2 linked regions of the Arabidopsis thaliana genome follow. The protein of the gene in region 1 interacts with the protein of each later gene in a pairwise test. Each region holds a gene or a part of one and is shown on either strand. Other genes may lie near its edges.

Region 1 (3,756 bases):
TGCTCAGCCCACACCATCTGCAAAAGTTGGAGTTCAAGAAAACAAAACAAAACATAACTCTATCAAAAGCTGAAGACAAAAAGAAAAACATATGGAAACAAGAGCAATGCTCTATCTTTCTGGTAAGATAACCCCGAAAAGTGAAAACAATAGAAATCAAAGGGACAAACATAAAAAAAATGTTAAAACTCAAACTTAAGTCTAAAACCATGAGTGCAACAGCATGAACAGATGCTATAGTTTACAGTCCGTTTAAAGACGTTAGCACCAAAACCAGATGAGTGGAGAGATGGTGGACGTTCAGTTTATAAAACCCAGTGCAACACTAAAACAAAAAAAGCCAAGAGACAAAAAGAATGTAACAATATTCGTCCCCACCATCACCAACCTATAGAGAAACTAACTTCGATAAAACAAATGGCACTTGAGAAAACTGTAAAACCAGGGACAGTAAAGAAAAGAAAACAAAACATAAACCAACAAAAGGAAAAATAATGGAGAAAACAAAAAAAACAAAAGTATGGTGGGTCACATTGCATCTACTTGAAATAGAGTCGAAGCAAGATTCATGAATAATGAATTACGGCAACCGATGACAATGCTAACCTACCTCTAGAACATAATTTAGGTATTTAATTCCTGTAGCAGTTCCTCCTAGGAATATACATATTTAGGCATTTAAGCCAACTATTTGACTAGAGAGGCATAATAATGTCAGATAAAATTCCGGTACTACCACAAAAGCCTTAATCCATTTATCTACACATGACGGAGCTACAATGAATTTATGCTTATCCAAAGACATTCAAACCACAATATTAGCACAAACATTGCTACAAAACACCAAAGGTTTCAGTGAACGTACCATGAATAGTTTGAGTAGCCATGAAAGGAGGAGCCACCAGCATCCGAATCTTTACCCGTCCCTCTTTTTCCACCAGCATCCGAATCAGGATAAGTACTAGGCAGACTCTGACCTCTAAAGTAAGAACCTAGAGCTGAAAGACCAGCAGCACCAACGCTTGGATCAACACCAATCCCACCCATTTGACTAGACTGTACCATATCAGAACCCAACCCGCCATGTGCTAGAGCACCCGCTAACATCGGATACATGTAACCTCCCCCAGCTGCTGCTGCTGCTGCTAAAGCTGGATTTCCCAACATCCCAGCTCCATAAAGCGGATGGTATTGGTTCCCTAACATAAACGGCGAAGCAGCCATTCCACCACCGTTAAACACATGTTGACCTTGTACCTGCTGTTGCTGAGGCTGTCCATGATTAGCCATCGAACCCATACTAATCTTCACCGGACCAGGTTGATCATGCCCCTTTCCTGAAGCCGCAGGACCCATAGAAGCAAGCTGGCAAGTGGCAGTTCTATTAAGAATCCTCTTCTTCGGTTCTTTAAGAGCTTCTTTAGCTCCTTTCCTAGTCTTGAACATAACAAATCCAAACCCTTTAGCCTTACCAGTAGCCTTATCTATAACAACGGTACACTCTTCAATCTCACCATAACCTTCAAAGACTCCAACAAGAGTCTCGCGAGTCGTCTCCCATGGAAGACCATAAACGAAGATTTTCCTGTGTGTAACATCACGATCTGCGGCTTCTACGACGGCGGAATAGATCGAAGATCCGATTCGAGAAGCGGAACAAACTAGATCGACAAGCTGGTCCTTGGAATAAGGTTGTAGAAGCTCACGGAGCTCTTCTGGGTCGAATTCGTTGTCTGATTCGGAATCGCTAGAATCAGAGCTGGAGCTTGAACTTGAATATGGCGTTGAGGATTCTGGTTGTTGTTGTTGTTTGTTAATCTTCTGTTTCTTATCGAAATTCGTGGATTTGGATTTCACGAGTTTGCGCTTCTTAGATTTGTCTAGGGTTTTCGCCATTGTAGTAGAGGATAAACGAGTCAAGAAGCTTTTAGGGATTTTGATTTTTGATTTTTGATTTCAGTTTCCTGTTTCCCCTCGGGTCAAGAGTTCGATTTACTTTATCCTCGAGATGTCGTTTTTCCGATTTTTTCAGTTTAATTTTTTTTTTATTCGAGTATTTTGCTTTGAATATATTTTCAAATATTTAGATTATTTTTGGATTGGTTTATTTTGAATATTTTTATTATTTTACATATTTTTAAATATTTGCTTTATATTTAAGATAAGGCCTTAGATCTTTGTAGAGGTTACATGGCAAGATGCTGGCTTTAAGTTATGATGGCTATACATCAACCGGAATACCATAAGCTCCCTAACTTTACGGGGTGTGAACTTTGTGGTACTTTTCTTTTAGAGCGCCGTCAGAAAAGATTCCTGGCTAGGCAGAGGTTTTAGCCATATTGGTGGTGTCGCTCTGCTACTTGTTTATTCATTCACCAGTTGAAACTTTTTTTTCTTTCTTTTTTATCTTTATGTGTTATGAGAAACTAAAAAAATAGTCACCGAGATCTTAGAGAGGGTTTTGTTTTTGTTCTTAAGATTTTCAGAGTTTCCCCATTGGAAAGAAAAACAAAGCCCTCATAAGATCATGATCACAAAACAACGAAATCAAATGACCAAAACCAAACCAAAGTTGATTTAGCTGAAGCATACTATAGATTAATACGAGTTGATTCATATGGATGGATGGATAGCTGCAGAGAAGACCAAAAACCGAGAAACAAGATTGATCCTCTTAAGAAATCGAAAAACTGAAAACAAGATTGATCCTCTTAAGAAAACAAGCATTCGCATCATCGGTCACTGTGAGGTCATTGTGAAAATCCAAAGAAAAAAAAAAAAAAAACAAGTATGCTTTGCTACCATAACCAGAGTTATATAGAATATGAATAACGAGCAGGTAAAAAAAAGGTAAATCCAGAACAAAGCTATGTAAGGTGAAAAACAAATTGGGTCCAAGTACCGATGACCAAAAACAATCTTGAACTTAGGCAAGAAAACTTGGCAACTGATATCAAAATGGACTCTTAAATACAAAAGAGAAAGGGGCGACACTACCATAAAAGAGGAATGTGATGAAAGAGATTGAGAAGCTTATAAAAACCTATGGGGAAGAAAACAATGCTTGAAGGAAAGAAAACTCAGGTTGTTTATTCCAGAGAAAATCAACTTGAAGCTTTTGAAAGAGTCCCAAAACTTTTTCCAGTACTCAAAAAGACAGATTTAAAACAAGAATGTAAAACCATTATGTCTGATCCTACAAACGGGTCTCAAGACAACTGCAGCTGGAAGATACAGACTTTTGGCAGTTATGACATATAGTGGACAAAACTATAAATGTCATAAGCTTCTTCTCCAGCTATAGCGAACAGATATTCAATGAAAATGCGGGAAAACATAAAACCAAAAACAAGGAAAAACAAAAGAGAAAAACATACGCCATGCCACAGAAGAAAACCAGACGTGAGTTTGATGGGTAAGGAGAAGACAGAAGACCATAATGGGGGACTCCAAAAGGGAAAACAAAGAGATAGCAAACTACTTTAAACCAATATTGATCCTAGTAACTAAATCTTCTAGACAAAATGACCACATTTCACTGGTTTATGAGAACAGAGCAGAACACCAATGACAGACTTCCAGAGAGCAACAGAAAATTCATCCTTTGAGCACACATCTCCCTCAAAATGGCTCATATAGGGGTAGATACCTCGTTAAAAGAGACTATAAATAATGAAACTAAAAAAGTAGGTTTGAAACATCAGGCATAGAAAATAAAGATCCGCAAAAAAAACTCCTGCAATTCCCAAAATATCA
Region 2 (3,756 bases), on another chromosome or scaffold:
TATAAAATAACAAGAATGTTCGAGAGAAGTATATGTAATAAGCACATACCTCCATTATATGTCTTCCGTTGAGGGCTTCCATAGCTGCGACCGCTTGTTCTTTAGACTCGTACTTTAGAAACAGACAGCCTAAAATAATCCAAATGAACCAAATAATTAAAGTCAGTCAGAACTCTGGTATAGAGTGCTTGCTATAGATGCATAAGCAAGTGGAGATACATACCTTTGCTAGTTTGTAGAGACCCTCTTAGAATCTGTAGATCCTTAATGGTTCCGTATTCAGAGAATAAGGACTGGACTTCAGTTTCAGAGACATTCTTTGGAAGCATACCGACGAAAAGTTTGTGCTCTGGATTGCACGAACAGTCAAGAACATCTATCAAATTGATTGGTATCAAAAATTAAAAAATGCGACCAAACTCTGGAAAGAAAGAAAAAAAGAACTCTTTTGGTGCTTAGACTTCATCACTCAGAAGCATTTTGCGTACCTAGTCTTTCCAACTCGCCATCTGCATACTTAACTTGCAACGGACTAGATGCCTGAAACATATCATAAGAAAGTGAATTCTATAATTCGAGAGAGGGATAAGAGTGTACATAGCCCATAAGCATCCTAATGTTCAGATACCGGCCACAGAAAAATCGAAAGAAGCAAGGATATATATATACACCAAATTTTTGTTAAAGATCGCTCAACAAAAAGTCAACACAATGAAGCAAAAGTTTTCTCTTGGTATTTGGGTTCCTATAATCTCATTCCTAGAGATGTTCTAGCTTTTTGCATCTTGCACGTTTTAGTGACCACTGACATACATCTATAGTGGACCAATGTGGTTTCTTGGGTTTGAAGAAATCAGCTAGAGAGGATTTGAAACGAACTAGTATCATCAGATTACAATAACTGATAGGGCAGATTCTGATCAGCCAAATCAGATTCATGATTTCACCTCGATGGATATATGATATATATAACCAAGCAACAACATGCAAAATTAACAGGGACAATAATCAAGTACAATGCAGATCGAGACGGATAAAAAGAAGAAAAATCAATCTGAGATTTTAATCAGTAGCTTGAAAAAATGTCACCTTAAGTAGTTTTGATGTACACAGAAACATCAGATTCAAATATCAGAAAATCCCAGAAAATTAAGCAAAACAGCTTCAAGAATGGTAACAAGAAAGAAGACTTACCCCAGGCAATGTCTTCTTGTTATGAAAACTATTGATCACCTTGTCAGCATCTTCCCTTGTAGGACATGTCAGAAAACAACATCCTACAATTCCACAAGAAATTAGGGTTTTCACAATTCAAAAATAAAATAAAAGCAACGAAGAAATCACGCGCAATAAAAAAGAACAAAAAAAAAAAAAAACAGGGGAACTTCCAAATTAAAGAAAGAAAAAAACAGAGTTCAAATTAAACGAATGAAACGGAGAAAATTAGGGTTTTCAGAATCCAAAATCAGACGAATCGAAAAACCATCTACAAGTATCCTCGAAACAGAGAAAAACTTCTAAGAAAAAAAACAAAAAGATATCAAAAGTAACGTTCTTTGGGAGAAAACAGAGGAATTTTTTTATTAAAAAAAAACCTCGAGGAGCTCGTGTTGTCTTCTCTTTAATGATGTTGACTTCATTGACGATGGAGAATTCTCGAAACAATGTGAGGAGCTGAATCTCCGTCATGTGCTTCGGAACTTGTCCGACGAACAGCTTCACCCTCTCTTCGTTCTCCATCGTCTCCTCCGCCATTATTTCTTTCTCTCGACTTCGTCGTCTTCTTCTTCTTCTTCTTCTTCTTCTCTCTCTACAGGCTTTTTCTTCCTGAATATTTATTTATTTACTTTCTTTTTTTTGGAAAAAATAATAATAATAAGAAAAAAAAATGAGAGAACTACTAACTAATGGGTGACAAAGTGGTTAAATTAAAATACGGACTAAATCTGGGCTCGTCGTTATTACTAAATTTACGATATTGCCATTAAAACAGCTGTTCAATTAAACAAGAAGGCGAGCCTGTGGGATGCCAGGGGAACACTTTCGGATTGTTTTGTCTGATTATGGATGTGTTGTCATGCCGAATTTACCATTTTATCCGCGTTTTTGTTTTAATATGGAGTGTGTGAATAAGCTGACTATTTTTTTTGTTATGTTTAAATTAAATAGCTGTCATTTCTTCAGTCTTCTGCATTAAAACTCAAAATGTTAGTTTATGTTTAGTTTTTTTTTGGATTTTTATTGTCGTTTGGTTTAAAGAAAAGTGAGTATTTTGTTTATGTTGGATATCGTTTGTTAAAGTTAGTCTACCTTTATTCTAATATTTTTTTTTATCAATTCCTCCTTATAATGGATATGATCATCTGACGTTAAAGTAGTGATAGATATATGTCCTAATATTTTTATCACTAAAATTTTTATATATTTAATTCTTTATTAATAATAAAAAGTGTAGGTTTGTTTAAAGGTCCAAATCAAACATACACAGTTACAAACACAAAAAGAAAAACCTTTTTTTTCTTTTGAGCAGTTGAAATTTGAGTATTTGACAATACACATGGACACGGCTATAAATTTCCATATTAATTATTTTATATAATATATATATTTTAGCTTTAGACAATAATATATTACACCATTGAAAAGAGGGTTTGGACATTTCAATCTAGCCAAACCAACTCCAAATGCAAACTGTCATTTTTAACTTAAATTGAATATAAACATTTTTATCGTTTTCGCACCATACAACTAAATTAAAATCAATCCAATCCTATTTGTAACAAGTGATGAAGTGAATAATAATATGTGTTATATTAATGTAACATATTATTTATTTTTGGAACGGAGAATCCAATGACCAATTCTAGATTTGTAAAAAAAAAAATTAAAAGTAAGTAAATCGAGAAATAGTTATAGAAATAAATACGACTATACTAGTTGACCGTAGAATTTATATCCATACACGAGAGGTCATTTTCATTTTTCAGTGACAACGAGTAGAGGACACTGAAATAAGGGTAGAGTGTCGTAAATATAAGGAAATACTAGTGGCAAAAACATAAATATGACAGACTGTCCTTGCCATTCGGAAATAAATAACCACATCAGCTCCGATTCTTACATCAAATTTCACAAAGAAGGCCGCTGACTTTATTTAGTTTACGTTTTGACCCCACTTGTTTTCTGGTTTTTGTGCATGTTTGTGTGAATTAGTCATTGATAAACGATAATAGTGTAGTAGTAATTAAGAAGAAAAAACCACTCGGCCGCTTAATTTAGCATGAAAACGTATTAAAAGAATCTCCACTGTTACTCTGTGAGTAAATGATAATATTTCTATTGCATTTCATGAAAGAAGTCAATGAAAAAGTTTGACATATCAATCAAGTATTCATTAGTCTACTAAAATATGTATACGTTGTTAGATTAATCTATATCCAATCTGTAGATAGTAGATAACGTGCTTATGTAAAAACAAAGTTAGATTCTACATCTCACCAGTCTCTGGCATTTCAAATTTGCAGATCTTTGGGAAATTTACTTATCCTCATAGTGAGACCCAAAAGTCTTCAGACTTATGATCATATAAAAGAATATCATTCGACAAAACCACAATCATATAGAAGAACATTATGAAAATCTAAAATAATGGTCAAACCTTTTAAACAACAACTTCTTATCACCATTTATTACACACATAAAGTAAAAGAAAACAAACTTACAGATATTAAAGAACAAAACAATTGATTTCAAAAG

Evidence for each region.
Region 2: the proteins of UBA1A (region 1) and AT1G03457 interact in binary tests that used the Arabidopsis thaliana proteins (3 or more experiments, as listed by UniProt).

The regions. Positions count from the first base shown.
Region 1 is NC_003071.7:9,388,555-9,392,310, forward strand, and holds UBA1A (RNA-binding (RRM/RBD/RNP motifs) family protein), read right to left. Parts: upstream 1,953-3,756; 5' UTR 1,897-1,952; coding exon 853-1,896; 3' UTR 496-852; downstream 1-495. Other genes in the region: AT2G22088 (uncharacterized protein), read left to right, coding at 248-495. UniProt on the Arabidopsis thaliana protein: Acts as a component of a complex regulating the turnover of mRNAs in the nucleus. Binds with high affinity to RNA molecules that contain U-rich sequences in 3'-UTRs. May function in complex with UBP1 and contribute to the stabilization of mRNAs in the nucleus.
Region 2 is NC_003070.9:862,265-866,020, forward strand, and holds the start of AT1G03457 (RNA-binding (RRM/RBD/RNP motifs) family protein), read right to left. Parts: upstream 2,109-3,756; 5' UTR 1,756-2,108; coding exon 1,596-1,755; intron 1,349-1,595; exon of another isoform or gene 1,278-1,348; coding exon 1,195-1,277; intron 541-1,194; coding exon 489-540; intron 377-488; coding exon 224-376; intron 130-223; coding exon 50-129; intron 1-49. UniProt on the Arabidopsis thaliana protein: RNA-binding protein involved in the regulation of flowering time. Acts as a repressor of the activity of SOC1, a transcriptional activator of flowering time.